Linked DNA regions of Tamandua tetradactyla. The protein of the gene in region 1 purifies or fractionates together with the protein of each later gene. This does not show direct contact. Links are inferred from orthologs where the notes say so. Each region holds a gene or a part of one and is shown in the gene's direction. Other genes may lie near its edges. The genes, in order: VAPA, FAM83G, VDAC1 and RAB3GAP2.

Region 1 (7,853 bases):
AACTTCTTTGGCCTTTCTTGAATTAAGGTACTCTCTTGTTGTTCACAGCTTTACAACTGTTAACTTGCAACTTAATAAATTCCCCTTTTTAATCTATTCAGGTATATCACATTCCGGCAGCTCGCAGACTAAAACAGGAGGTATTTAAAAATTGCAGCTCCCCCAAACAGTACAAGGCTCTCTTTGCTTCTCTATCTGTATCAGGTGATCTCATCCATTTAGATGACTTCAGTTCCCATGCATGTTTAGGACTTGATTTAATTTTCAGCCCAGAGCTCTTTCCTCTGAGCTCCAATGAGAACATCCCATTGCTTATCTCCAAGGCATCTTGCATTGACCTGTGATCTTCCCTTCCCAGCTCCCAACAACAAAAGCTTGTCCTCTCCGGAAATGGCACCTCATCTATCCACCCACACAAGCTGGAAGTAGGGGAAACATCCTCTAGATCTCATTTTCTCTCACCACCCTCCAAATCCATCCATATCTGAACCCTATTGATTTTACTCCCTAAATAGCTCTGAAATCCATCCAGTTTTCCCCATTTCCAGGGCATCTACTGTGGCTCAAACTCCTACCCTCTACAATGCCATCCTGCCATGTGAACTACAGCAATAGTCCCAATTGCTCTTCCCATAGTTCCTCTTACTCCTTCTAATCCAACCTCCATGCTGTAGCTCAGAGGTATGTTAAAGACCATTTCACTCCATAGTTGAAATGTTTGGTTGGTTTCCCATTTTCTTAGGATAAAGACCCAAATCCTTAATATGGCCTAAAATAAGCCACATAACTTGGCTTTTCTGGCTTCGTCTGCTGCTCACTGCCAGATTTATTCACTGTAGCACACTGGCCTTTTTTTCAATGACTTAGAATGTACCGTGCTTATACTGTGCCCTTTGCCTTGCATACTAAGTAATCGTTCAGAACACAGCCTTGTCATTTCCTTAGGTAGCTCTTCCCAACCCCAGACCTATTTGCACAACATCAGACTTCTGAGCCCTAGTGCTTACCACAATTTAGATAAAATAATTGCAATATTAGTTATTTCATATTTGTCTCTCCTGCTTGAGTGTCAGCCTTTAAGGACAAGGTCGTGTCTATGGGTTCATTGGTACATCATTAGCATCTTGGTGCAAGGCACATGATGAAGCTGGATAAAATAGGACAACTGTAAGTCCCTGGTCTCCTATTCAACTCTGAAAGAGTTAACAGACAACTGCAAGTTTCTTGTTTCTTACCTAACTCCAAAAGAACTTATACAGAGCTGCAAACTTCAGCTGCAGACTTCCTGCAACAAAAATTTCCCAAACGCCCCCAAACCTCCCAAAACTACTGAAACCTCCTCAAACCATAAAAACTTGTAAAATTCTGGGCCCAAAGCAAACTCTTAGTTAATAATAGCAAGCACAATGTCATAAAGATTGTTAACCATTTGCCCAAAGACAAATTTCAGGTATGTGACAACAAACCACTAATTCTGCTAGCTGTCTCCTCCTAGAACAAAGAAGACACGTACTATTCAAAGGTCACTGTGGAAACCTGCCACTGGTAAAACTTTCCTATAAAACAAGCTGGGGGCAGGCAATAGTGGCTGAGTGGCAGAGTTCTTGCCTGCCATGCCAGAGACCCGGGTTTGATTCCTGATGACTGCCCAGGCAAAAAAACACCCAACCAACCAAACAAAAAACAAGCTGGCCTACTCCATTCAGGGCATGTCCCTTCTGTGGGCACACCTGCATTAACCTCTCTAATGTGTACTCTCTCTTTCTAATAAATGTCTCTTTCAATAAACTTTACTTATGCCTACTGGCCCTCTCATCTCTGAATTCTTTTAGTTTAAAGACTATGGAACTTGGATCGGGGTTCAGCTGGCACCTCTGCCAGCAGGACATGGGTTACAATACCAGTAAATTAGTGTTCCACATTGATAAAGTACCAGTGCCCAAACCAGGCACTGCATTCAGCTTTCTTGTGCCTTAACTCATTTATCCTCTTAATGAAGCTGTACAGCGGTTCAGCTGTTATTATCCCTATTTTACAGATGTAGAACATGCACAGAGAGGTGAAGTAAGCTGCCAAGGTCACAAAGTGGAAAAGGGGATTTGGATCTAACAGTTCAGCTCCAAAGCCTGTGTGCTTGCGTGACACAGTATTTATTGAAAGCAAGTCCTTTTTAGCATTTATGGAATTGACCTACTCAGGGAATTGATCATAAACAAATTAAATATTCTAGAGCACCTCTTTAGTAAAGTGTAATATGTTTAACTATGGAGATGGTTATACTTTTTACCATGTTTTGGAAACTGTTTTTGTGGATCTTTGCCAAGCTCCTAAGAGATAATCTGTCCAAAGGTGAACACTCCTGGTGATAGAAATAGACCAAAGTAATAATCGAGGCCTTCGTACCTCTGAGACACATTAAAAAGTGGTCTTTAAAGATATGGGCTTGGAAGTATATATACGTTTTGCTAACAGAACAAACCTGAACTTCTAAGTGAACAGAACAAACCTGAGGCCAAACTTGTCATTGTTCCTAGTTTAAATGTTAACAGATAAGTCAATTGCATTTTAAACTGCTGTCTTAATTGCTTAGCATTGTCACTTTTTTTGTGGCTTTGGGAAGAGCAAAAATGCACAGGATGGAAAATAGGGTTTTGTTTTACCCCTTAAGTTTGACTCTAGTACTGGCTTGAGAGGCCCTCACCTGTGTTTTCATATCCATATTTAATAACCAAATTAACCCTTTCCAACTGCTGCAAGGTTGTCCTGAGTAGCCTGTAATGATGTTTGTATAGTTCTTTGAACTGCTAGAAGAAGGTGTTAATAAATCCCAAAGAATAAACCACTTAAACAGAGCACCATTTGATGAGGGGTAGACAATTCTCTGGGGGCTCTGAGTCATTATGAATGCAATGCCTTAAAACAGTCATGGGGGAATTATTCCCAAGGCATTTCATGTATTGTTAGAATATCAGATTTGTATAGATTTTAAGACTATGCCTATAGGATTTGGAAGCAATATGGATGGAAAGAGGAAAACTGTGGACACACTTGGAGGATGCTTTGATGGACAGAGGTTTCCTAATGATACAGACTGGGAAATTGGGGTACAGTCAGTTACACTTGGTGGGTGGGAAATCAGTGTCCCATAGGGGAGTGACTGGGAACTTCCTCAGCATGCTTTATCTGCTAATTGGGTGCGTGCACACTGGGAATTTCCAAAGGCTTTCTGGAAAGAGAGATTCCATCCAGCTGTGGAGGGGTTAGGGGCCAGTTCAGCCAAGGCTTCTGTTCCCTCCGCTAACTTGCCAACCCAGGAGAGGTTCTAAGGCAAGCAAGGAACTGTAGTTAGTGAAACCTTTTGGGAACATCAGTTTACAACTAAACAAATGTGGGACACCATCCAGTGGAGTGACTGCCAACCTCAAGCCCCCGCCTCCTTTTTTTAAACATTAAGCTCCTTTTTGATAAACATACACTTCTGGTAACCCTCCTTTAATAATTAAATTTTCAAAAATACCTTTTGTGAATACAAAGAAATCAAGGGAAAGGTAATGTTAGAATATGCTTTTCGAACTACATAAGCATTCCAATCCCCCCACGGTCTTCTTTCTGGTTGTGGGGCAGGCTCCAGCGAACGCTAGGTCAGCTATTCCTCCGCATTGCACACGAAGCCTTGGTCAGCCTGGGTCTAGACGACTGTTCCATTCGTCTCATTTATTTTCCACACAAACCTAGCTTGTCCTTTATCGCAGTAGCCTCAACGTGTCCTTTGTTTTGCGGCGCTTCCTAGGAATTTAAATTCAGGATGCACTGCAAAGGTTTATTTACAGCACATTGTTCATTTGTTTCACTTGATGGTCCTGTCCCGGGCCACCACGCGGGCAACCGGTTGAAGATGTGTCAGCAACTTTGCTGCTGGCATTTTCCTCCTTATTCAGTTTACTACAGGCGGCCGTGGGTGCTGCAGGCGAATTCGTTCCTAGCGAACGTGACGCCGGTTTTTGCTTTGGAGCTATCATTCATCGCAGCCAAGGAGCAGCAGCGCTGTACATTCGGACTTTTGTCATTTGACGTGTGTACCCGGTCAGTGTCCCCAATGAGGTGGCGAGGGCGTTTCCCCCGCGTGATTTCGCCCTTTCTGGAGAGAATCCAGAGAGCCGGAGACGCTGGCTGGGAACAGGACCGAGACTCAAGTTCTCCCGTGCAGGGATGGATGGGTTTAGACAGTAAACTGATAAGCCCCGGCCTGTATTCCACAGGGTAGATTTCATATTATTCATCAGCCTCCAAAGCATTTGTTTTTCTTTTTTAGCGCGGTCGAGAGCTCCCAGGAGCCCCAAGCAGGGTCAGCGCGCTCCACCCATCCGCCTTCAACGGACGTCGCTTCTTCCCGCCCGCGGACCACGCACACTACACTTCCCAGCAGGCACCACGCGCTGCGCCTCCAGGGACCGGCCGCGCTTAGGCTCCGCCCCACGCAGGGCTTGCTGGGAACTGTAGTTCACCGGCGCCTTCCGTCTCCTTCCTTCCATCAGGCATTGCCACTTGGAAGACGGTGATGCGGGACCATCATAAGGCTTCTTGTTTCGTAATCGGAGCTAACGCGAGAGAATATTGCTCCTCTAGCACCACGGGGCGCCCCGTTTCCTCCCACAAACCTTAGCGCCGCCCCTGACCACGCCCGTTCCCTTGACAGCTGGCCCGGGGGCTCCGGCCACTGCCGAGGACTGCAGTGCGCAGACGCATCGAGATCGCGCCGTGCTGGGCGGGTCTGGGGGCGGGGTGAGCGCCGAGCGGCAGGCGGCGGGGGCGCGCACGTCTGCACGCAGCCCGTCACGTGGGGCGCCGGGATCGCAGTGCGCGCGGCCGCGGCGGCTGGTGTGGGGTTGAGTCAGTTGCGAGACCGGAGCTGCTGACCCGTCCGGCGGCCGGCCCAGCAGCGCCAGGGCGGCAGGCGGAGGCGAGCTGGGAGCCGGAGCCGGGCTCGGCCGTAGAGCGTCTCCAAGCCCGTGCCTTCCCTGCCCCCGCCGGCAAACCGCCGCCGCGGGCGCGCCCCCGCTCTGCGCTGTCTCCGATGGCGTCCGCCTCTGGGACCATGGCGAAGCACGAGCAGATCCTGGTCCTCGACCCGCCCACAGACCTCAAATTTAAAGGTGGGCAGCGCGCGGTGGAGCTGACGACTGTCTCCCCTCGGGGGCTTGGCGTGGGGTCCAGGGGGCGGCGGGCGCGCGGGGTGTTGGCCTGACGGGTGCGGCGTCCCCTCCCCCACGCGCGGCCCTCCGGCTCGGGCGCACTCGCCGCCCCGCCGCCTCCCTCTCCGCGGTCCTCCTCCCCGCCCTCGCTCCTCGGTGCGCGCGCCGGCCGGGGGCGGGAGGGCCGGCCTGCTCCCGCTGCCGCTCCCGGCCGGGTCTGGCTCCCGCGCCGCCGCCATCTTGAGGCCCGCCGGGCGCTCCGGAGTGGTCCTCCCGGCCCCGCCGCTTTGGGGTGTCCCTGGCGGTCTCATCTGCGTGCTCCTCCCGTTCCGACCGCTTTGGGTTGTCCCCCTCGGCCTGACCTGGAGGTGCTCCTCCCTGCCCGACCCGGGTGCTACCCCCGGTCGGCTTCGACGTGCTCCCTTTGGCCCCGGGTACTCCTCTGGGTTCGGGGTACTCCTCTGGGTTCGGGGTGCACCTCCCCCACCGCGGCCGGGTCGTCCCCGCCGCTGGCCCTTTGACCTCCGGGCCGTTCGGAGGCTGCGGGCGGGCAGCGACCTGAGAGCAGCGCGCTGCGGTCCACGGGGGAAAGGGCGTGTGAGGCGGCGCCAGTTGCACCCGTGGCTTTCTGTCCACCGGGCGGGAGGTTCGGCATCGAGGCCGCAGCTCGCGACCCAGCCCCGGAGGGACACGGTCCCTCTGCCTCCTGCCGCCGTCCGCATCCCGGGGGAACGCCGGGTACAGCCGGCCTTTTGCCCGGAGAGGGTGTTGCTGCTCGACTTGACTGAGTTAATAACTCTCCTGTTAGGCGTTGGGAGCCCCGAGTTCTTCTGGTTATCACCTACCTGGTTTCGTTGTAAATGACGTGCGGGGAGGAAGGCTGGGCGCCAACTTGAAGATCTGCGGTGGGAGCGTCCTGGTGGTGGGGCTTCCCGTCCGCGGTGGCATTTCAGTTTACCTTGCGTGCAGAGCCCTGTCTACTCCGGTTCAGTTTAGCCCTTGAGCTGAGCGTCTCTGCTGCGGAGTCTTCAGTTTGTGGCATTTGCCTTTGGATTTGCGGTTTCCCACTTCACCGTGAAAAGGCTGTGAACGTTTCGCTCGGCTTCGTAAACGTCATTAATTTCTTTTGCAGCAACACCCACGATAAACTTACTAGTCTAACTTAGTGGTGCTTGAGGAATCCGGGGGCTATTTCGTCCGTTTGCGTTTCAGTATGTAGACGGAGGGTAGTTTAGGGAAGGAAATTAAAAAATGAACATTTGTGGATTTTTTTTTAAAAGAACTGCTGAAAGATTGTGACGTTCTTGAGTAGACTCTTTTATCCTAAGTATAGAGTGAGCTCCCTTTTGGAAGTCGTTATCTTGTATTTCAGTTTCAGTAGCTTACAATTTTGTAAGGTGTATAGCAGTTCCAGCGTTAAGAGAAGTTATTGTTGTATAAGGTCGTATCCAAAAGGAAAAAATACATCATTTTTCCATAGAAAATTTTAAATTAAAAAATTTTTTTGGAATAGTTTTAGCAAGTTCTTTTCTCTTTCACTCTGGAATTATGAGAGTATTGCATAACTTTTTAACTTTGCAGTTCTCTTAGTACATTTGTAAATTTCTTTGAATGGTAATGTGAGTTGCTTGTTAGGTAAGGATTTGATTTTATAGACAACTCTAAGAAGTATTTTGAGGTGCAGTGAGTGCATGACTTTCCATAGTTTTAGCTGAAAAAAAAACTTTTGAGGAATCCAAAAATTATCTAACTCAAATATCGATTATCATAAGCTGAGGAATTTTAATGTAAACTATTATGTGTGTTCTTTCTGCAGTTTAAATATTTTGTTTTCGTCTTTTGACAGCCTGAATTTAAAGAGAACATTTCCTTTATCTGATAACCAGTGTGTTGGGTTAGAAGCATTTAAAAACCAGTTTAGGCCAGGAATTGTCCACAGTTTGAAGGTTTCTTCCTAGAGTGGTTGTAATGCTGTCATAGTAAAAGAAATAATAGTAGGTTAAAAAACAACCCCAAACCCTACATGATGACTACATTTGATTAATGATGTTCAGCAATGAGTAATTCATTCAGCAGGTATCAGCTTATATTGGGGGAGTCATTGCTAATCAAGGTAGAGAAAAGATTCCCATGGTTAGTTCATAGTTTAATGGGGAAGGCATACAATTAAAAAACAGTAAAATGTGTTAGGTTTTGTCTTTGCCCTTGAAGAACTTCCAAGACTAATCAGGGAGACAAAAAAGGCAGGAAGATGCTCTAACAGAGGCACAAACATATCTATAAGAAAAGAGGGCCCCGCTTCTTTTCTACTTCCTCCTCACATTAGAGTAGGAAGCCTTAAAGGAAGAGACTAGCTATGGTAGGTGGGTGGTAGGGAGTGGGGAGAATGGCCAAAGACAATGGTTGAGTAAACTCACTGATGTGAAAGAATGCTTGGCATATACTCCCCCCCGCCTTTTTCTTTTTATTAGAGAAGTTGTAGGTTTATAAAAATTATGCAGAAAATAAAGTTCTCATATACCCCTTTGTGTACACGGTTTTCGCAGTTATCAACACTTTGCATTATCATGGTACCTTGTTATAATTGATGAAGTATACTTATAGTATTTATAATATAACTATAGTCCATAGTTTACATTGGGGCTCACTGTGTTGTACAGT
Region 2 (7,900 bases), on another chromosome or scaffold:
TCAGCACCTGCTGCTCCCGTGGCCCTTTGCTGCTCCCCAAGTGTGACCAGGGGCCACGACCTGGGGGTGGTGGGTGGGCCCTGCCTGCTGTACCAGCAAAATCGCAAGGGAGAGCGGCCACCTCAGGCTCACTTGTCCCTCCTGGGGCTATGCTCTGCAAACCCGCAGCCCAGCACCCCTGGGCTAGGCGCTGCCCCCTTCTTGCACCCCTTCTGAAAGCTCCCCCTGGGAGGCCTCACCTGCTGGGGGTGCCCATCTCAGACCCCTTCCCCCCAACAGGGGGCTGCAACAGCCACCTTCGCCCCATCCTCATCTCCCACCCAATCTCCTGTCCAGTGTGTCACGAGCTCGTCCAAGCAGGACCTCGCCTCCTTCCCCGCCTTGTCCCAGTGATACCCCACCCAGCCTCCCTCCTACCTCCCCACCTCCTCTGCCTGTCCCCCAGCCTGCAGCTCCCCCACCCACCTCCCCTCTGTCCCCTGCCCGGGCTCCACCCCTCTTGCTGCAACCCCAGTTCATGCCGGTCTCCCTGCCCCTCTTCTCCAGGCCACCCTCTCTGGGCTCACAACTCAAGAACCTCCTTCCCACCCCCTGCTCCTGGAGCCTCTGGCGCCCTGGGATGAGGTGGGGGAAACTTTCCAGGGCATTCAAGGCCCTTGACACCTGGTCCAGCCCCTCACATCCTGGCCCCAGGCTCCAGCCACCCTGACCTGCTTGCATTTTCTCACGCCTGCCCGCCCAGCACTCTGCCGCCTCCCCACCCCCACCCCCACCCCCCATCCCGCTGGGCCAGCCTGCCTAATGCCCACCTCCACCCTTGTTTATGGCAGAAGTCCAGGCCCAGTCGCAAAGGGCTTGTCCTCTGAGGACCTCTGCTCCCCCCACCCCAAGCACGGCAGCTTCCTTCCTTGCGCTCCAGCAGAGCATGGCCAGGGCTGAATCAGGGTTGTTTGTTTACATTCTTCACCTCCCCCACCACCCCACGAGCTCCCCAGGAGCAGACACTCAGTTTGAATCATCGTGAGTCCCTGGTATCGCCCAGCCCAGGGCTGGGCCCAGCGGAGACACTGGGGAACATTTATTGAATGAATGAGTGAGTAAGTGAGTGAATGGAGGGGAGGATGGAGAGGAGGAGAGAGAGAAAGGAACCTAGAGAGAGCCAGGAAGGAGTTCAGGTACCGTTTGATCCAGCTGCCTGACACTACTAAATCCACCCTGCCAGTTCTGTAAGTGGGGGATTCTGGGCCAAAAGGGGCACAACTTGCCCAGGTCACACAGGCATCTGAGGCCACTGGGCCCTCCTGATGGGCGCTGAGCTAGACAGGCTGACTCTGGCCCTGGGAGGGACAGGTGAGGCATCGCAGCCACATAATGGCTCAGAAAACCCGAGTCAGTAGATTCTTCCCAAGTTTATTCAGCCTTTTCCTGACTCCTGGCACTGGGCACCGCCCCCTGGGCACTGCCAGCTCATGTTCATGCCGCAGGGAAAGAAAGGACCTCCTCCTTCACAGAGGCTGCGGGTCCTGCTGCCATTTCAACAAAATTCCCTGGGTTTGCCAGCTCAGCCGTGAGCACCCACAGGCCATAATGACTGGGGAGCTGGGGAGGGTCTTCTGGGCGTGCAGGCCTGGGGGCTCTCCCATGGGGCTCTGGTTCTGCATCCAACCCCACCCGGTCAGGGCCCCCACCAGCAGCCAGGGAGCTGCCCCTTCCTTGCCCATGTCCTCCATCCCCACTGCCAGAACCCAAGGTCAGCCACTGCACTCGGTCCCGGGGGCCTCCGTGCCAGCTCCTTGCAGCTTTCTGTTGCCCACCAGGAGCCTTCGACTCAGCTGCAGGAATTCTAAAACCACCAGCTCACAACCCTTCTGGGGCTCTCCCTCCCCTGCAGATGGCACTGAAGTCTCTCCGCATGCATTCAAATCCCTGCACCCTCGCCAGCACCCTCACCCTGCCACCTCCACCACCACCTCTGGGCGTCTGTGTTTGCTGGTTCCACTCCCAGAACACCGTTCCAGCCTGCAAACCCAGGGCATGTATGCTCATTCTCCTCCTCTCACGGGGCGAGTCTGAGCTCCCAGGGCCTCAGAGCAACATTGACCCGGCACCCATAGCTCTTGCCCCATGTCTGTCCTGTCTCCCCCACCACAACGACTCTGGGGTCTTGGACACAGCCAACCTCCGTCAGCATTTGTTGACTGACTGAATGATCTTCTCCCAAGGAGGCCCAGGGTGGGCCGTGGGGAGGGTGGTGGGCTGCCTGCCCTCCTCTCCCCCAACAAGTCGGCCCATCCCCGAGGCCGCTGGGGCCAGGCCAAAGGCTCCAGCAGACCTGGGTTTGAGGCCGGCTCTCCCCTCCAGAGCTGTGTGATCCGACTGATTCTCTAAACTCTCCGAGGCTGGTCCCTCCCGTGTAAAAATCCTCTGTGGACACCCGTAGGCCACACATGCAGAAAAAGAAAAAATTACCCTCGTCATAAATTTCACACCTTATATAAAAATTAACTCAAAATGGAGCGGGTCAATTTTTTTTCTTTTAGAATAAGAAAAACATGCAGAAAAAATCTTCAGATGGACGGCTAGACAAAGAGTTCTTAGAATTAACACCAAAAGCATGATCCTTAAATAAAAGTTGATAAATTGGACCTCATCAAAATTAAAAACTTTTTTTTAGCTCTGCATGAGGCCTTGCGCGGAGGGTGAAAAGCCAAACTAACTGCCTGGAGAAAATCTCTTCATACCACAGACCCGGCAAGGGCCATCTCTCTAAAATATATAAAGAATTCTCAATACTCAACTCTAAAAAACCCCAAACAATCCAGTTAAAAAATGGACACAAGACACGAACAGACATTTCACCAAAGAGGCATGGTGTCATGTCATACACATGACAAATAAACACATGAAATAAACATGCAGCATCATTAGCCACAAGGACAATGAAAATTAAAACCACAATGAGACGTCACTCTGCACCTATCAAAATAGCTAGAATTAAAAATAGGGATAACACCCAATGCTGGTGAGGATGTGGAGAAATTGGATGATGCGAACATTGCTGGGGGGAACGTAAAATGATATAGCCACCCTAGAGAGCAGTTTCGCAGTTTCTTTAAACAAAACAAAGCAAAACAACACAGGCAGTTATCGGATGACCCAGCACTCACACATTTGGGCGTTTGTCCCAGAGAAAACCTGTACTGGAATGTTCACGGCACCTTTATATGTAATAGCCCCACGTGGGAAGAACTCAAATGTCCTTTGGCAGGCGAACAGTTAAAGAAACTGCAGTCTGTCAATCTTACCGCAGAATACTATGCAGCAATGAAAAGGAAAGATCTAATAATGACAGACGCGACATCCAGGATGAATCTTCTGTGGATGGGGTAAAAAAAAAAAAAGCCAATCCCCAAAGTTTCCATACTTATGATTGCATTTATATAACACTCTGGAAATAACAAAATTATAGAGAGGGAGGGAAAATTAGTGGTTGTCAGGAATTAGGGCTGTGGGCAGGCAGAGGGAGAGACGGGGGGATGGCTCTAAAGGGGCACGAGGGAGATTTTTGTGGTAGAGGAACAACTCCATGTCTGGGCTGTGATGATAATTACACAAATCTACAAATGTGATAAAATGGCTTCAAACTCCACAAACGCACACACGCAAATGAGTGCCTGGGAGATGGGTGGCATCTGAATAAGGTCTGTGGGTTGTGCCAAGGTCATTTTCCTGGCTTGATGTTGCATCTAGTTATGTAAGCTGTGACCGCTGGGGAGCTGGATGGAGGGGTCAGGGACCCCTCTGCTCATTTTCTGAGAACTTCCTGTTAATCTCTCCCTATGCACAGGTTATTGCCGAGTGCAGAGATAGCGAGCAACCCCTGGGGCCTGGGAGGGGGCCGAGTGGCAGGGAAGACTTGAGACTGGAGGTCAGGGAGGGGGACCCAGGGGCACTGGGGCAGGAGAGGTTGCAGGTGCTGGGTCCAGGGGTGCTGGGGCAGGAGAGTGTGCAGGAGGAGAAGCCTGACAGTGGATGGCAGGGAGGGTCCGACTCCAGTTCAAACCTGGGGTGCGGTGCTCTCAGGTTGGAGTCCTAGGGACACACCAGAGGACTGCTGGACCTGGGACCAGGTCTCCCACCCTCACCGAACAGGCCCCCATCCCCTCCCTTGATCCAAGAGGCCTGAGCCCTGCTTGGATACAAGGCACCTGGGGTGGGGGTGGGGGGCGGCTGCCCCGGCGCCTGGCTGACTGGCTGTGGCATGCAACGAACCTGGTGGCCAGGTTTAATGGGCTTTGCGTCCCCACCCTGGCAGCCTGCCTTCAAATGTGCCCCCGCCCCCATAACCAGGGTCCCCAAGCCCTGGGGACGCCTGCGGAGAGGCGGGCCTCACCCAACCCACCACAGCCTGTGCCCCGCCCCCCTCGGGGTTGGGGAGGGTCCCTGGTGACGCCTTCCCCGAGGGCTCAGGCCTCAGAACTGGTACCTGCTCTATCCTACAGCTAAAGCTCCCCCCACACACCCTCCTGGTTGGTTAGCCAGACCTTGCATTACTCTTGCCTTGGGGCTCCCAAGGCAGACACAGCCCCCACAGCCTTCCCGTCCCACTTGCAAGGCCTGGGGACAGAGCAGGGACTCCAAGGCCGTCGACTCGCTGTGTGACCTCAGGGAGCGCACTGACCCTCTCTGGGTCGCAGTGTTCCGAGGAGCTCCTGCCCTTGGACCCCCGAGCTCCGTGGGCTGCCCGCACCGGGGGTGGGTGGGGCAGCTAAGAGAAGGTGTGCACACCCGCCCAACGTCTGCCGGTGAATCAGCTTCCGGCCCCGCCTCCCGGAGGCATGTGACCGCAGGTGGCCGCCGGCGGGATGGGCGGAGCGACAGTGGCCCGGGCCCGCCCCCCGCCACCGCCTCCGCGCCCAGCCGCCGCGCGGTACCCCTCCAGTCTGCTCTGTGCCCGCGCCAGCTCCTGCCGGTAAGTGAACCCCGCCCGCGACCCCCGGGGACCCCCCGCCAGGCGCTGCCGCCGGCCAGCCGCCCTTCCGGGGCTCCCAGACCCGTCCCCCGGCCCCGGACCCCTCCAGGAAGGCCCTACGGCTCTCCGATGCCTAGCACCCTGGGATCTCGAGATCCTTTCCCAGGAGCGCCCAGAAATGCGGAGCCCGCTGGGCCAGGCCAGAGACCCCAGAGTTCAGGCTCTTGCTCCCCAAATCCTGGAAACTTTGGGAAGTCCCGAGCCTGCCCTCATTTCCCTTGGAAGTTGCCTGAGACTTCGGGGAGCTCCGGAAATCCCCTGGCACCCCAAAACCCAGGCACACGGGTCCCCTCGCGCCGGCCTCGGACCCCCACTCTCACCCTCTACACACACACACACACACACACACACACACAGTCCCCATCTCGGACCCCCACTCTCACCCTCTACACACACACACACACACACACACACACACACACACACAGTCCCCATCTCGGACCCCCACTCTCACCCTCTACACACACACACACACACACACACACACACACACACACACAGTCCCCATCTCTGCCCAGCCCCTCCCACCCCCCCACGCCAGCCCGCCCCCACCCCCCCAGCCCCCGACCCGCCCCGGCGCGCCCCGCCCCCGGCCCCTGCCCTCACCGGGTCTTCCCCGCAGGTTTCTATGGACAGAGGCGCAGAGGCAGCCGGGCGGCCCCAGAGCGCGCCGTGCGCCCCCGCCGGGGCCCGGAATTAGGCTCCCGCCCCGCCGGGCTCGGCTGCCCGCGGCCGGCACCATGGCCTTCTCCCAGGTGCAGTGCCTGGACGACGGCCACGTGAACTGGCGCTCGAGCGAGGCCAAGCCCGAGTTCTTCTACAGCGAGGGGCAGCGGCTGGCGCTGGAGGCCCTGGTGGCGCGCGGCCCCGACGCCTTCCGCGAGGTGCTGCAGCGGGAGAACATCCGCGACTTCCTCTCCGAGCCCGAGCTCCAGCGCATCCTGGACACCATCCAGGTGTACGACCCCGGCTCCGAGGACCCGCGCGCCGCTGGCCGCTGCGGGGGCCCCGAGGAGGGGGACGCGGGCGGCCATGCCGAGGGGGCCAGCGGGGCGGGCGGCGGGACCCTGACCGAGGCGGAGCCGCTGCCCTCCCTGGAGTACTGGCCCCAGAAGTCGGACCGCTCCATCCCTCAGCTGGACCTGGGCTGGCCTGACACCATCGCCTACCGGGGGGTGACCCGGGCCACGGTCTACATGCAGCCCCCCATCGACGGGCAGGCCCACATCAAGGAGGTGGTGAGAAAGATGATCAGCCAGGCCCAGAAGGTGAGGGGCCCTTGACAGGGGTCCTCCAGTGGGTGACAGAGGGCTTGATGGCTCTTTGTGCATTGTTGGGGGGCAGTACCAGGCTCCCTGGACCTGGCCAGCAGCTTCCCCAGACATGGGGTGACGGCGGGGTGGTGAACTTTCTCTCACTGGTTCTCCCCTGGGATGGCTCTGACCATCCCCTCCCACCCCCCACCCCCACCCCAGGAGGAGCAGGGCCCCCTGCTGTTGCCTCCATGGGGAGCCGGAGAGAGCATGGGCTAGGGGTAGTCACAGAGCTTGAGAGGAGGCTGAGTCCCTCTGAGGCTGGCCTGGAGGTCCTCATTCACAGCTGGCTCTTTCCTGGCTGCACTGGGCATCTGCAAGTGAGGTGCTCACCCTCTCTGAGCCTCCTGACAAGAACAGAGTCTCTGTGGGCTGGGAGAAGTGCAGGGAGTGTTGGGGAGGTGGAGTAAGTGCAGCTGAGTCTTGTTCACCTGAGTTGAATCTCACCATCGGAAGGGAACTCAAGCATTGTCTGAACCCCCTTCCTGGCCCCTGCAGGCTATGCAGGGGCCCCAGTGGGTGGCTGTACCCCACTCACACATATTTGCGATGCGAGGCAGCCCAGCCATTGCCACATCTGTAACCATGAGCAAGTGCTTCTTTCTCTGAGTAGAAGTGATTTTCCTTGGATGCAGAGCACTTCCTAATGCAGCTGACAGAGGCGCCTAGCAGGCTGTGTTCAGAAGGATTCTGAAGCCCAGTCTGAGTAGTGATTGATAAGCAGCGGGTGCCCTGGCCTCAGGCCGTGACGGAGGAGGTATTAACTCGCCAAGGCTACCCCCTTCACCTTCACTGGAAGGCTGGCTCTGGGCCACCCTGGCCGACACACAGACCTGAGTGAGCCCTTGGGCAGAGGCCACAAGTGGCTTAGGTTTCCAGGACAGCCCCAAGGCAGATAACCTTGTCAGGGAACCTGGCCCTTGGCCTGCCCCTCCCCCGACTCACCGGAGTCTCCAGGCAGTTGGGACCTTCGGTTTTACGGGTCTGTAAAACGGGTCTGTAAAACGGGAGTGGTGAGGATAGAAGCTGCCTCTTTGTGCTGTTGTGCCGGCAAGGAGGAGGGGGAGAAGGAGGGGGGAAGGGAGGCAGGGGCAGTGACCTTCGACCTTCGTGGGTCTCAGGTTGAATAATCCACCCCACTCGTGCCATGGGGTAGGAAGGCATCACTGACGCCTAAGCTCGCAGAACCCAGTCCCCTGGGAGAGCCTGTTGGGATCCCATAAAAATGGGGAAACTGGGGCCCTGGGGGACGGAGCCTGATCTGCTGCACCCCCCCAGGGATACCCCCCTCTCCACCTCTGTGCCCCACCAGATACCAGATTCCAGCACTGCCTGGGAACTGGCCAGAGGCATCTAATCTTCCCCAGACAGAAAAACAGGTGACCTGGCCCCGTGATGGGGCCTGATAAGGGTGCCCGGGGCCAGGCTGGGCACTCGAGGCTCCCTTGCTGACTCCCTGGCCTCCTCCCCACATCGCCTCGGCAGGAGCTAGGGCCCAGCAGCTCTGTGCAGTCCCAGGGGTCCCCTGTAGCTCCCCCCCAAAGTCCCACAGGTT
Region 3 (6,924 bases), on another chromosome or scaffold:
TTGGAAGAAAACTTGTGCCTTCACTGGGCCCACCTGGGTAATCCAGGATACTCTCCTCATCCCCAAATCCTTAAAAGCAAACTCATCTGCAAAGACCCTTTAGACATGTGCTGTAACATACTCATAGGTTCCAGAGACTAGGACGTAGACTAGGATGCAGCGGGTTGGTTAGTGTCTTCCTGAAATTCATATCCCTCGGACCTTTAGAATGAGACCTTCTTTTCTTTTTTTTAATTGAGAAATCTTCACACCCGTGCATTCCACACTTGGTGTACAATCGATGGCTCACAATATCATCACATAGTTGTGTATTCATTACCATGAGCGTTTTTTTAGAGAGACTTTTATTTGGAAATAGGGCTTTTGCAGATGTAATTAGTTAAGGATCTGAGATGAAATCATCTTGGATTTAGGGCGGGCCCTAAATCAGTCTTCCTTATAAGAGAAGACACAGACATGTCAAGATAGAGACTGATGGAGTGATGCGCCCACAAGCCAAAGAACACTTCGGGGTTACCAGAAGCTGGAAGAGGCAAGGAAGAATTCTTCCTAGGAGCCTTCAGAGGGCGCATTGCCCTGCTCATGCTTTGATTTTGGGCTTCTAGCATCCAGAATTGTGTGATGATACATTTCTATTGCTTCAAGTCGTCCAGACAATACATTTCTGTTGCCATACTTTGTTACGGCAGCCATAGGAAATTAGTACAACAATTTTATGGGGGGGGGGGTGTGTGCCATTATTCTCTACGGCAGTTCACCTCTACATTTTTAATGCTGTGGTTGCAGTAATACTGAATATAAGATTGCCTTCAATTAACATTGTAGCAGGATTTTTTTCCCATGTGAAGTCTTTGTAACCATATTTTCTCAAGGCTGTGAATGAGATGTGCACATCCATCCCAGGGAGGGGATGTGCTTCAATTTGCTCAAGCTGGAAACCAGGCTGTATTCCATCCTGGACTACTATACATCGTTTTGCAGCTGGCATTTCCCATACTTAGAATTATTGGGTGCACAGATGGTTCAGTGCTAGAATGCTTCCCAGCATGCGGGAGACCCGGGTTCAATTCCCAGCCCACACACCCCAAAACAAACAAAAAAACCCATGACCACCTATTCTTACGATTATTGCTTTCGCGCAGCCTCTCGTGGGTAGAACGGACTTATAATTCTTATTACTTATCGCCTAATTGCTTTCCAGAAGATTGTATCTATTTATACAAGCTCTTTGGCTTTTCAAAAATTAAATAAAAAGTTCTTTATTTTTATAATGATGGTATTATACACTCATTAAAGAGTATTTGGGATATATAGGAAAGACCAAAGGAAAAAAATCATTCATAGTCACATAAATTGAAGCTACAATTTTTATTAATATTAAATTTCTTTCCATTTTTTCCCTCTTCTCCTCCTTTATATATACATAATTTAAAATCCAGGAAGATGATGTTGAAATTTCTTTGAACTATTTTAGACCTGGGACGTCACCAGTTGTTGCATACGGATGAGAAAATTTTTTATTGTCCTCATCTTGGGATGAATTCCATCCTGTTTCCCCAGTTGGTCACTGCTCTCCACGTCACTCAGAACCTGGGTGCTGGGTCCTTGCTCGGATGATGAGGGTCAGAACACACTATGGGATGTGTGAGCTGACATCCTTGACCACAAATCCTCAATTCTGACTCCTCCTACCCATATTCAGGTCTGATGACTTTTCTGGAAAACGGTCAGAAAGGTTAGGTTTTATAACAATTCAGTTTTGTAATAAAACTAATTGATGCTGGTTACAAGCAGAAAATTTTTTCTCTTTAAATAACCATTTATATAAGTTGCACCTTCCATTTCTGCCTTCACGGAGCTCATCCATGGACCACGCTAAGAAATCATGTTGTGGTACCAGGACCTTTGGCCCTGAAAGAAGGGTGCTGTCTCGGTTTGCTAACGCTTCTGGAATGCAATATAACAGAAATGGATTGGCTTTTACAAACGTATTTATCAGGTTACAAGTTTATAGTCCTAAGGACATGAAAACGTCCAAATTAAGGCATCCAGATAAGGATACCTTAACTCTGAAAAAAAGGCTAATGGTGTCCAGGGTTTCTCTGTCACAGGGGAAGATACATGGTGACATCTGCTGTCCTCTCCTGGCTTCTGGTTTCAAATGTCTCTCTCAGCTTCTCATCTCTCCTGGGGCTTCTGGCATCTTCTACATTGCCAAATGTCTGTGTCTGGTTTTAGATCTCTGCTCTCTTGTCAGCTCTGAACTCTTCCTCTCTGTGAGCTCCTTTAAGGACTCCGGTAAAGAATCAAATCAAAAGGTCACACCCTACAACAGGTCCGCTCCTACAAGACTGGATTAAATAACACTGGCTTTTCTGGGGTACATGATAGTTTTAAATCAGCACAGGTGGGAAGGGGTCAGGTTCTTAGGAAGGTGATTGGCTGCTCTCCACCTTGATAGATATCTTCAGTAGAAGCCCTATGACTGCTAGATATAAGAAAGAACTTCCTTACAATAAAGTATTCTTACTCTGGTAACCCATTTCAATGTTAAAAATAAAAGAAAGATCTTCCCTGACTGCTGTACTATGTTTTGTTTGAAGAGAGGAGAACTGAATTAGGACTTGGAAGAAAACTCAACCCAAGGTGGGCTAAGCAAAAAGGGAATTGATTGGCTCAGGTGGCTGGAAAGCACAGGGTGCATCTTTATACCTGGCTGGCTCCAGGAGCATCATGTCCCCAGGACTTGAGCTCTGCCTCTGTCTTGTGGGCTGGCATCACTTTCAGGGGAAGTCTTTCTCTCAACAGCCCTGAGAAAAGTCTTACTGGTCTCGTTGGTCCCTCCCTGTAGCCAGGGCGAGCAGTACTGCACTGGCCAGGGCGAGCCACGTGGCGACCTGAAGAATGGCCCTGGAGTCAGGGATGCGGTGAGCTCCATTGCAGCTTGTGGACTGTGAAGAGGGGAATAAGGGTCATTTGCCCAAAGAAAAACTGTGGTCAGGGCTGACTAGTCCCCACAACCCCCTTCAGTTACCATCTAGGAACTCAGGTGTTCTGCTGGGAGAACTGCACCCTGGCCGGGTCAAGCTCAAGGAGTGTTATCGAAGTGGCACAAGGAAACCCAAGGACAGGAAGAAACACACTCTGACTTGGGGTTTCTTAGCTCACATTTGCAAGAGAGGACCTGATGGCTGGGCCCGAATTAGATGCCCACCCCAATGCCAATCAGCTGTGGCAGGGAGGGAGGAGGTGTGGCTAAGGTGTGTCTGTGTGCGTGTGTTATGACCTGGTATAAAAGACTAACTTCACAGGCTTCGTGAGACCTAGCAGCCAACTGCTTTGCAAGAAGCAATTTACTTCTTTCATTTCTCAAATACCTGGAAAAATAGCTGCTAGGAGCTTTGCTATGGGGGAAAACTGCTAATTTGCAGTGCAAACGTGGTGCACCGGAGAGTTTTCCCTGAGATTTCACCTGGTCAGAGAAGGCTCTGCATTTAGGTACCAAAGTCTTCAACGCCCCTGCCAGTTCCAGCTGAGTTTCTTCAATGTTTTCTTGCTACATGTCTCATTTTAAGCTTGCAACAATCCTCTGAAGTTAAAGCTCTGAGAGGTTGGGCTCCTTGCTCAGAGTCCCACAGCCACTAAGTAGTTCTGAGAGCATGCAGGGATTAACCTGAAAGTAGCACCTAGGGGAGCTGTGGAAGGGCGTCAGGGCAGGTGGGGGCAGGTTAAAGACCCTAACAAGATGGGGTGGTGGGGAACATACCAGGGGAGAGAAAGCATCTCAGACAATTTCTTTCAGCTTCACAGCTGAGCTCCTATGCTAACCAGCGCAAGGTTTCTCAAGCCCCGCCTTCCCTCAGGGCCACCTGGTTCCGCTCTGCTTCCCTGAAGTCCTTCCTGGCCTGCGGAACTCTGCCTCGCTGTGCACTGTGAGTGACTCAGCAGCTTTCTCTGCCCGCCCCTCTCTGGGAGTGGGCTGGGACCTGTGTAGGGACAGCCAACTTGGCAAGCCTGAGGCTCCAGTTAGCAAAGAGGTAACTCACTGGCCTGGAGAGGGGCCTAGGCTCTGTTCTCCCCTCCCCTCCCTAGGACCCGGAGGGGCTCTGAGCCCCCAAAAGGCCTAGGGCTGTTGTGTATCAGTTCCCATCTTTCTCACCCCCTTCCCTCCATAGGAACACCACTTCTAACCCGAGTTGCCGCTTTTTCTATTGAATCTGCCGCCTGCTTGCTGGCCCCAGCTGTCGTCTGCTTTAGCGGATGCCACAGCTGCCCGTGACCAGCGCTCTGACTCTGTAGCTCTGCTTCTCCAACACGGCGCTCCAAACGCTGTTAAGGACATTTACTGGCCGAAGGGGAAGGGTGCGCAGAATCTCCACGAGTTCATCAACCCTCGAAGTCTGCGTGGGAAAGGCTCCCGCGGGACTCTCGGTTGGCAGCTTCGGTCACTACCCGCTCGAAGTCTAGCGGGGAGACGAGCGTCATTCACCCCAGGCACATTGTACCGCGGGGAGGCCGGGCCCAGGCTGGACGCGGGTCCCCCGCGGGGCGCTCGACCGGCGGGTGGGAATGGGCGGTGACATTCGCGCTTAGTAAGACCCAGCAGTCGCCATCCTTGTAATATGCAATTTACTTCTTTCACTCCTCAAAGGCCCGGGAAATGGCTGCTAGTAGCTGTACTACAGGGGAAAACAGGGGGAAAACCTGCTAATTTGCAGTGCGAACTCCGTGCCAGGTGGAGCCTTCCCCGCGATTCGCCCCTGGACGGGGAAGGCTCTGAGAATCGGATGCCGCTTACGGGACAGTCAGAGGCGCCCGAAACATTGTGTCCAGATCGCGGAGCCGAGGAGCGGCAGTGGCGGCCGCCGGCCCGGGACTAACCCCGACGTTACACTCCGCGCGGGTCTGTGGGGGGCACGTGGGGGCCACCCCTCCCACCCAGGCGCCGCCTTCCACGTCAATTCCCAGGGGGAGCGTCTCTCCGCAGCCCCGCGCGCCTTTCTTTAGCGCGGGAACCCGGCTCAGCTAACCGGAAGACCCCACCCGGCGGGAAATTTCCAGGAATGACCGGCCCGCTCGTGCGGTCGCTACGCATGTCCCCGAGCACGCACACACCGTGCGCACGTCGGTGCCATCCCTCCCCGTCGTTCCGTGCACGCGTGCACGCAGGCACTCACGCGCGCCCACACACGCGTCCGCCCGGGGCTTGGAGAAACCCGCTGAGGTCAGAGCGCAGCTGGGGGGCCGGACGTAGACCTGGGCTGGGGCCTGGGAGGCGGCCCGGGCGGGACCTGGGGGCGGAGCACGCCGGGCCGGGTGCGCAGGGTAGGGGCGGGTCCGCGCCGCCGCCGTCGGCGCCGCCCCGCCCCGGCCCCGCCGCTCGCTCGGTTCCTCTGCGCCGCAGCCCCCGCCGTAGCCGCCGCCGAGCCCGCCGCCTCCGTCTCTGAGGTAGGCGCCGCGGGGAAGGGCTCGGTCTCCGCCTGCGCCGGGTGCCGCGGGCCTGGGCCCGGGGGAGTTGGGAGGGCGAGATGGGGGAGGAGCGCGCGAAGGCCAAGGGCCTAGCAGGAAGCCCGAGGGAGAGTGCGGAGTGGCCCCTGCGGGCCTGGCGGGTCAGCAGCCGGCCGAGGAGGCCGCGCGGTCGGGGGCCCGGCGGACCCGGGCGGGGTGCTGAGGCCGGGGGTCCGGAGCCGTGGGCGCTGCAGAGCACATGGGGGCGGAAGGGCACGGGCGGTCGCGTGGAGGCCCGGCCGGCCGCGGGTCTAGGTGACCTTCCTTCGCGGTGCCCTCTGGCCCTCGAGCCCGCCAGCGCGGGCCGGGCAGGGGCCTGTCCGCCGCCCACGCGCCCCAGTTCAGGCCCGAGGCCTGCGCGGGCCACGCTGCCGCCCTGGTGATGAGCCGCGTGTGACGCCTGCTGCCCCGCGCCCCTGGCCCGGCCCGACCCGCTCGGCCCACGCCCGAAGAAGCTGGCGTGCGGCGCGGCTCGCGCGTTCCAGCGCCTTTCCTGGCAGAACGGGCGGCCGAGTCGACTTAGGCCGCAGGGACAGGGGCTTGGGCCTGGGCGGGGGCGGGGGGGGGGGTAGGCCTTGGAAGAAGAGGCCGGGAGCGGAGCCGCGTGGTTGCAGTGGCCTTGAGAGGGATTCCTGTCTCGGTCGCTCATTCATTCACCAAACGCGGCGGGGCCAGACTGTGGATTTGAGACCCGCAGCTCAAGTGATTTGCCCAAGGTCACACAACTGGGAAAATACCAGACTTCAGTTTTTTTTTTTGTAAAAAGGGAGCAATTATGTTTCTCCGTCGTGGGGTTCTTGGAAGAATAAAATGAGGTGGTTAGTAACGCGAAGCTTTCAGGACAGGGCCTGGCACTGAAATAGCCTTGGAAAAACCGTGACGCTAGCCCTTGAGGCTTTTTGGGAGGATGCTGCAGAGTGCTTTGCTCCATAGTAGTAGTCTGGAAAGAACTCAGTAAATGTAGCCCCTGTGGTTTTTTTTTTTTTTTTTTGCATGGGCTCCGGGAATCGAACCCGGGTCTCCAGCACAGCAGGTGAGGATTCTGCCACTGAGCCACCGTTGCCCCCCCTTATAACCCCTGTGATTTTAAACATAGTTATTGCTGTATTATTAACGAGCGTGTGTGCCAAGGCACTGATTAAATTTCAGCAAAATTCACAAAAAATCCTGTACCTGTATAGATTGATAAGGTCGGGCCGGGGCAGGAAGCTTGAATGCAGAGGTGGACTCTGTTTAGCCTAGGTCTGTCACATCTGAGGCCCCCATCCTCTTGACCAGCGTCCCCCAGAGGGAATAAGGAAATGGGCGCCTCCTTTGCCAGGGCAGACTGCCCGGAGCCTGCCTTTTTTTCTCTTTGCCTCAGCCCTCCACTGACTGAGCTCCTGCAGGGCATGGTGGGCCCCATGCATCCCTGCC
Region 4 (6,955 bases), on another chromosome or scaffold:
CTTTAAGCCTTCAGTCCTGTTGTGTGGAACTTTATGATGGTGATTATCAGCTGGTTCTTTGACTATGTGCTGAACCAGATTCTTCTTTTGGGCTCCATTCGTGTTTAGAAGTAGAGGCCTTTTACGTTTTAAACTCACAAGTTGGTTATTCTGAACCAATGTCACAATAAACTGGACAATCTTTCGAATAACTTGTTGCTGTTGTGCATGTTTTGCTCGTAATTCCAACACCTCCTTCCAAAGTGACTCATTCTCACTTTTCAATTCAGAAAGCCTAGACTCAATAGTCTCTTGTTTTATTTGAACCTTCTGAGCACTGCTTATAATTTTTGTTAAATCTTCTTGACGAATTTTATTTTCTTCTGGTTTTGAAGAGGAAACCTTCCTTTTAATGTTTTCCAGCAAATCATCCTGGCCTTGCTTGAAGTAAGGATGCTGAAATTCAACAGGACCATCTCGTTCCTGCTTTACAATTCCCGAGTCGATATGTACTACTTTACGGAAGCCATACATATTCAGTTGCCTCACAAAGCTTGCCATGTTATTGTGCTTGAAGTACCTGGGAAGAATTTCTTTTGCAAATCTTTGTTCATCCAAAACCAGAAAACTTCTCCATTCTGGCTCCAGGTGATGAACTCGTTGGTGTGGGCCTCCTCTACCAGAGTCCACAGCTTGCTGAGGAAAGCCGGCACGTTCGAACTCTGCTTCATTGTTAACGAGGCGCAGGGATTCCGAATTCTAGCCCCGCACGTGGCGGCGGCAGCGGCAGCTGCTCGCTGAGAACGCTCATAGATCTTTATTGAATAAAAACTAGTTGTATATAGCCCTTGCTTCTGTCTTCACAGACGTCAATACAAGGATGACCTTCAGCAAAGCCATCAGGTAAAGATTCACTGACCTTCCATTCCCTTTTCTCTGCTCTTTTTTCTTTCACTTAGAGATGCTCTGTGCCTTCAAGTTCACCCCTTCCCACCTGGCACTCTTAATGGGGTGCCTGCATAATCTACTCCTTCTGGGCTACTCCAACCATTCTGGGTAACTCCAACCAGACTTTTTCCTTCCTTTCAAAATCTACACATCCTTGGGATGGACCTTAGAGCCCAGCTTCTTCATTTTTTTTTTTTTTTGCCTTTTTTTTTGTTTTTGTATGCTGTATGGCAGGGTCACATTTCATTATTTTCCATGTGAGTATCCTGCTATTGTAGCACCATTTGTTGAATTTTTTTTTTTACATGGGCAGGCACCGGAAATCTAACGCGGGTCCTCTGGCATGGCAGGCGAGCATTCTTGCCTGCTGAGCCACCGTGGCCCCCAGCTTCTTCATTTTATAGATCAAAGAAGATAAGGCCCAGAAAGGCAACATAAATGAGCCTGATTAGTGGCAGAACTTGGGACAGCCCTAAGTCTCCTGAGTCCAAGTCTGTTGCTATTTCTTTCACACTTTGCTTCCCATTCTGCCTCTCGACCCCTTTGGCTTTGGGGTGCTGTTAAAGATTAGCAAGGACCTGATGTTAACATCCTCAGAAAGCCTCTCTCAAATTAATGACCTAAATTAATAATGAATAATGGAGAAATTCCATGATAGTGTCAGCAACTCTCCAGTTATTATTTTGGACAAAACCCTTTTCCTAACTCCTGAGCTCACACCTCAGAGAGACACTGTCTACACTGGGATATATAAAGCTTGCGTGTTTTCTGCAAAGTCCTTTCTAAAGACACTGTAGTTGGCGAGGTTCACTGTCTGACACAATCCTCCCACACTCCCCTGAACCATGGCAGCAGAACTCCAGAAGCAGCCCCTGTAGCTTTACAACTTCCTGAAGGCTGAGTTCAGTTCATGCTTCATAATTTCCGTGAAGGGTATCTTAAAGTCCTTAAAAACATTCATGAATGAATCTTTTCAATGCCTCTTGGAAGGACGTCAGGGACTTCACCATTGAAACTGAGCTAACGCAATAATGAAACTCAATGACTGCCACATCAGAAATAAATGAATGCTTCCAGGCAGAACAAAGGGCAGCAGAATTAGCCATGGGGAGTTATTTCCACAAGATGCATTTACCTGAAGAGGGACTTGAATGATTGTCAAGGAATGACACTGTCTTCTTCTAAAAAGTGTCCTGTATTCCTATTCATCCAGTAAGGCTAAAGATCTAAATTTAAATTTTATTTTAGTTCAGTATTTTGCACATATTTTAGGGGATCATCATCAGAACTGGATTATTCTACGGAGTGGTGATCTAAGAAAGCACTGCATTTTTTCAGGTGGAAAAAAGGAACACTGGAAACTTGCCTTTCTGCATGCTTTGATGATAGAATTACAGAGCCCTCATGCTAAAGAGGACCCTCTAATCCAACCTGTAATAGGACATATAATCCAACCCTGTAACCCAATTTAAAAATTATCTACATTCTTTTGTGAAAATCATTTTTTCTACAAACAGGAATTAATGGAGTAGGTACCTAAGTATTAAATATAGTTGTTATGTGAATAGGACTAAGTGTGTACACAGGCTTGACAGAAAAGAATGCTCCAGACCCATCTATTTGCCTGCAGTTTATCCCTGTGTGATTTTCTCTCTCATAAAAAGTAGATTATCTCTTTAGGTTTCCTTTACGAAGAGTATGAGTGCTTATAGTCCTTTGTACTAAGTAATTTCTTTTTTGGTTTTTACTTTTCAGAAAAATAACTTAAATGGGTTCAAGAATCCTCTCAGACACTTAGATCAATTTCCTCATTTAAAAAAGTAGGATAATATACATTGTTTCACAAAGGCAATGTGACCATATGATGGAACAATATACAAGGAAGTACTTTAAAAGATATAAAGAGTTTTGTAAAGGAAAGAGGTTTTTACTTCATGCACAGATTCCATTTCATTTATTCCTTCAACAAACTTTTATTGAGAACTGGCTATGCAGCATGCCCTATGCTAGATATTAGGGATACAAGGTAGAGTTAAATGAGAACCCGACCCTCCAGTACTTTACAACAACAAAAATCTGTTCCTGATCCTGACATCCCCCGCCAAAATCAAATCAAAACAAATAAAACAAAGCGAAAGCAACTAGGCAGGCCTCCCTGTTATACCGTCATAACACTTCAGACTTTTCTTTCTCAACTTTACCACAATTTCCTTTAATTTTTTTTATTAATTAAAGAAAAAAAGAAATTAACACATTTAGAAATCATTCCATTCTACATATGCAATCAGTAATTCTTAACATCATCACATAGATGTATGATCATCATTTCTTAGAATTTCCTTTAATTTTAATTTAATTTCCATTAATTGCTTAGTGCCTGTGTCAGTCACTAGAATTTTACCTTCACGAGAACAGGTACTTCATCTGTTCTGTTCCCTGCTCTACACTCAGCACCTTGCGTGGCTGACATAAAGAGACTAGCCACAAACATTTGTTGAATGGATGGATGAACGAACAAATGAAAAAGCAACCAGAGTATATAACACAGTACAACACACACCATATCGGGCATGCACAATACTAGGGGAATTTATAGGTGGGTCATTTAAAGCCAGTCTGGATGGAATTGGTTTCCGGAAGATAAATCAGTCTTGTTAGAATTCCATACTTGTATGATACCGTTCCCCACTGTACTGTCATTGACTTAACCCGAATTATTTTCTGTGAATTATCACGATCGTGCCAATAACAGGACATCAATAAGACTGGTTGAATGACTCAAAAGCTCTTGTGGCCACCATCCAGGGAGCTCAACTCTGGCTAACAGCTGTGTTCCTGGGTCACTTCCCGGCGTAGGCGGAGAACGGCCACGGAACGTCTGCTCCCAGCCGTCACGTCCACGTGAGACCCTCGGGAAGGACGCCCTCTTGTCACGTGACTCAGACCTCGCCTTCCGGGGGGCGGGCCTCGGCGCTTTGCGCACGCGCAGTGCTCCGGGGCGGTAGCCGGGGAGTGCGCCGACAGCTTCCGGTTTGCTTTCCCCGCCTCCTGCGTGGCCCGAGTTGTCCGGGCACCGAGGGAGTAGCCGAGGGGTGTTGGGGGTCGTGGGTAGGTGAAGCAGCGCCAGAGCGCGGTTTCCTGGAGCCATGGCCTGCTCCTTGGTCCAGTTCTGCTACTTCCAGGACCTCCAGGCCGCCCGGGACTTCCTGTTCCCTCACCTGCGGGAAGAGCCCCCCAGCGGTGGAGTGCGGAGGGACCCCAGTAAGTGCCCCTCACCTGGCCACTCCTTTTCCCGTCGGCCACCCCCGCCGCGCCCGCGGCCTTTGCTTGAGGGATTCGGGTCTCTGTCCGGCCCTGCGCCGCCCGCCTCTGCCCTCTGGGCCTCCGGGCCTCCCCCCTTTCCCCCTTCGCTCCTTGATAATCTCCTGCCGCCGCGTCTTCAAGCCCCGTCGGACTGTCGGCGTCGGGCTGCTCGCTCGCTTTTTTCAGCTTTTGTCCGGAACCGCCTCGCCCTCTGGCCAACAGCTGCGCCTTGCTTCCTGCTCTCGCCTCTGCCTAGCCTGCTTCCCCACCCCCTACTCCAAGCTTTCTCTCCAAGTCTCCTCTTCCTCTCCCCCTCCCTTCAAACCCAGGGTCTCTTGTTCCTTACCGACCCCTCCGTGGTCACATCCTTCTCCCCATCACTTGCCAGCTGTCAGCGCACGACCCTGGCAGCACTCCAACCCAGAGGCTTCTCCATTCCCGGGGCTGTGGCTTTCTGCCACCTCCCTTCTGAAAGTGTCGTTATCGGCCCACCCTCGCCGTTCTTCTATTCCCTTTACCCCATTCAGATTTAGAGAATAAATGGTGGCCAAGTGATGACTCCTAAGGCGGTGAGTGTCTCCCAAATAAGGAGAATAACCTGTTAGTTTAGAGGAATGAGAATTTACATCAGGAACATAAATTACAGTAATATGACCGAGAAAAGTTGATTTACTTTATTGACGTGAAAAACCTTTCACTCATCGCCATCCAGTTGTGTTCAATAAACACTTGCTTGTTTGAATGTAATATAAAATTCCAAGGCTGGTTTATTAGATACTGCGTTCCTGAGAATTTCCTGCATTTCTCTTTTGCAAAGGAATGTTTTCTGTGTTTTTCTTCATATTTCCATTCTGAATGTTTATTTAAACAAATAAGGTTGGAGGTCCCTGGCCTCTAGTAGGGTTAGTGGGGAAAACAAACAGCAGTTACCATATAATATGATTGAGATATATGTGAGGTGCTACGGAAGCCTCCCTTGAAGTTGTGATGGTTAAGCCTTACCTTTAAGTTGTAGTTAAATGAATAAGGGAGAGATAATAGCATGTGCAGAGGTAAATGAAGTGATATATAGAAAGCTAAGAAAAGCTGCATGGGTGGAGAGGAAGATGAGGGGAAGAGTGTGGGAGGGAAAGCTGCAGTTAGTAAGACTCTAGATCATGGGGAGTCCTGTGAAAGTTGTGGGGTGTTCTGAAAGATTTAAACCAAAAAAGACTTAGATTTGTACTTAGTGTAAGCAACAAAAGTTTACTGATACTTATTATGAGCCCTGGCAGCAGTGTGGAGGAAACAGGGAGATGGTTGTGAGGTGCTCTCAGTAATCCTAGGAAAAGATAGGATGTGAGCTTGAACTAAAATAGCCGCAGCAGGGTTTGAGAGGACAGGTCTTGATTAGAGAGCGATTAAGAAAGTAGAATCTGCAGGACCTACCTAGGGAAGGTCTGGTGTGGAGTAGGATGGGGAGGTATCTGGTAAGTGAGAAGGAGTTTAGCATTCCTTTACTTTGGCAAGGGTATACAATGAAGAAGACAGACTTGGACCCTTTGCATTTTAAATGTTTTGGCCTGTTCAAATGAGGAGTTCAAATAGAACATTAGATATAGAGGTCTGAAACTTGGTAGGGAATCCAGGACCAGAGCTTTTAATTTGGGAGTTACAAGCAAAGAAGTGTCAGTTCAGTCTCTCAAGGATTATATATACCATGAAGTGAACCGAGCCCTGAAGTTGGAACCTCCGAGGAGCACTGAATTTTAAGGGTCAAGTAGAGGTTACTGGGAAGGTGAAGGAGGAGGATCAGAGAGGAAAAGCAGGTGAACGTAACATTCCAGGTGCTGAGGGAGGAGAGAATTTGCTGAAGGTGAGGAGTGGTCAGCAGTTGTAAATGCAGCAGAAAAGCCGGGTGAGTTAAAGATAGAAAAGTGTTCCTTGACTTTGGAATGTTGGAAGTGACTGGGGCCTAGGACGGTTTCAGTGGAATGTTGGGGGTAGAAGGCATATTGCAGGAGTTTGAGGAGTTAAAATGAAGGTGATTGTTTTAAGAAGCTTGGCTGTCAAGGAGAGGATTTATAGGAATGTAGATAGAGGGAATTTAGAGAAAAGGAACACATTTTCTCTATCCTCCTGCTACTCCCCTGGTCCAAATCATCTTCTCTCACCTGTGCTATTGTACCAGTCTTCTGACAGGGCCTCCACTTCCACTCTTGGTTCCTTGTAATTATTACAAATTAGTCACAGTGACTATTTAAGACATTAATTAGATGACATTTCCCTGTTTATGACCCTCCATAGCTCTCCATTGCTCTTAATATAAATCCAGAGTTCTTACATAGCTTAAAAGGTCCTTGAGATTCTGCCTCCTGCCATTTCTTAGGCCTCATCTTTCTTTTGTGTCAGGCACTCTTCTTGTTTTTGAAACAGCTAAGCTTATTTGTATGAGTCCTTTGCTGTTGCTTCTGCTTTGGATACTCTGCGCAAATCTTTGCAGCCTCAGCTGCATCTTGTCATTCAAATTTGAGCTCAAATATTGACTCTTCCAGGTGATCTTTTCTGACCTTCTTTAAAGTCAGTTCTACCCCACTGACTTTGTGGCTCTCTTTTATTTCTTTATTACATCACTATATCTAGTACTGTCAAGTATGAGAACCTCTAGCCGCATGTGTGTATTGAGCCCTTGAAATCTGGCCAGTGCAACAGAGGAACTGACTTTTAAATTTAATTTAATTTTAAT

Evidence for each region.
Region 2: the proteins of VAPA (region 1) and FAM83G purify together in Homo sapiens (co-immunoprecipitation; 3 studies listed by BioGRID and IntAct, counting the BioPlex papers as one, with this or other methods). This does not show direct contact. The link is inferred for Tamandua tetradactyla from reciprocal best matches to the Homo sapiens genes VAPA and FAM83G.
Region 3: the proteins of VAPA (region 1) and VDAC1 fractionate together in Homo sapiens (co-fractionation; 3 studies listed by BioGRID and IntAct, with this or other methods). This does not show direct contact. The link is inferred for Tamandua tetradactyla from reciprocal best matches to the Homo sapiens genes VAPA and VDAC1.
Region 4: the proteins of VAPA (region 1) and RAB3GAP2 purify together in Homo sapiens (affinity purification with mass spectrometry; 3 studies listed by BioGRID and IntAct, with this or other methods). This does not show direct contact. The link is inferred for Tamandua tetradactyla from reciprocal best matches to the Homo sapiens genes VAPA and RAB3GAP2.

The regions. Positions count from the first base shown.
Region 1 is NC_135344.1:73,602,694-73,610,546, forward strand, and holds the start of VAPA (vesicle-associated membrane protein-associated protein A), read left to right. Parts: upstream 1-4,846; 5' UTR 4,847-5,074; coding exon 5,075-5,153; intron 5,154-7,853. UniProt on the Homo sapiens protein: Endoplasmic reticulum (ER)-anchored protein that mediates the formation of contact sites between the ER and endosomes via interaction with FFAT motif-containing proteins such as STARD3 or WDR44.
Region 2 is NC_135332.1:2,152,041-2,159,940, reverse strand, and holds the start of FAM83G (protein FAM83G), read left to right. Parts: upstream 1-4,900; 5' UTR 4,901-4,972; intron 4,973-5,654; 5' UTR 5,655-5,772; coding exon 5,773-6,300; intron 6,301-7,900. UniProt on the Homo sapiens protein: Substrate for type I BMP receptor kinase involved in regulation of some target genes of the BMP signaling pathway. Also regulates the expression of several non-BMP target genes, suggesting a role in other signaling pathways.
Region 3 is NC_135346.1:13,052,833-13,059,756, reverse strand, and holds the start of VDAC1 (non-selective voltage-gated ion channel VDAC1), read left to right. Parts: upstream 1-3,913; 5' UTR 3,914-3,932; intron 3,933-3,944; exon of another isoform or gene 3,945-4,037; intron 4,038-5,360; exon of another isoform or gene 5,361-5,448; intron 5,449-6,924. UniProt on the Homo sapiens protein: Non-selective voltage-gated ion channel that mediates the transport of anions and cations through the mitochondrion outer membrane and plasma membrane.
Region 4 is NC_135330.1:80,027,952-80,034,906, forward strand, and holds the start of RAB3GAP2 (rab3 GTPase-activating protein non-catalytic subunit), read left to right. Parts: upstream 1-3,951; 5' UTR 3,952-4,073; coding exon 4,074-4,188; intron 4,189-6,955. UniProt on the Homo sapiens protein: Regulatory subunit of the Rab3 GTPase-activating (Rab3GAP) complex composed of RAB3GAP1 and RAB3GAP2, which has GTPase-activating protein (GAP) activity towards various Rab3 subfamily members (RAB3A, RAB3B, RAB3C and RAB3D), RAB5A and RAB43, and guanine nucleotide exchange factor (GEF) activity towards RAB18.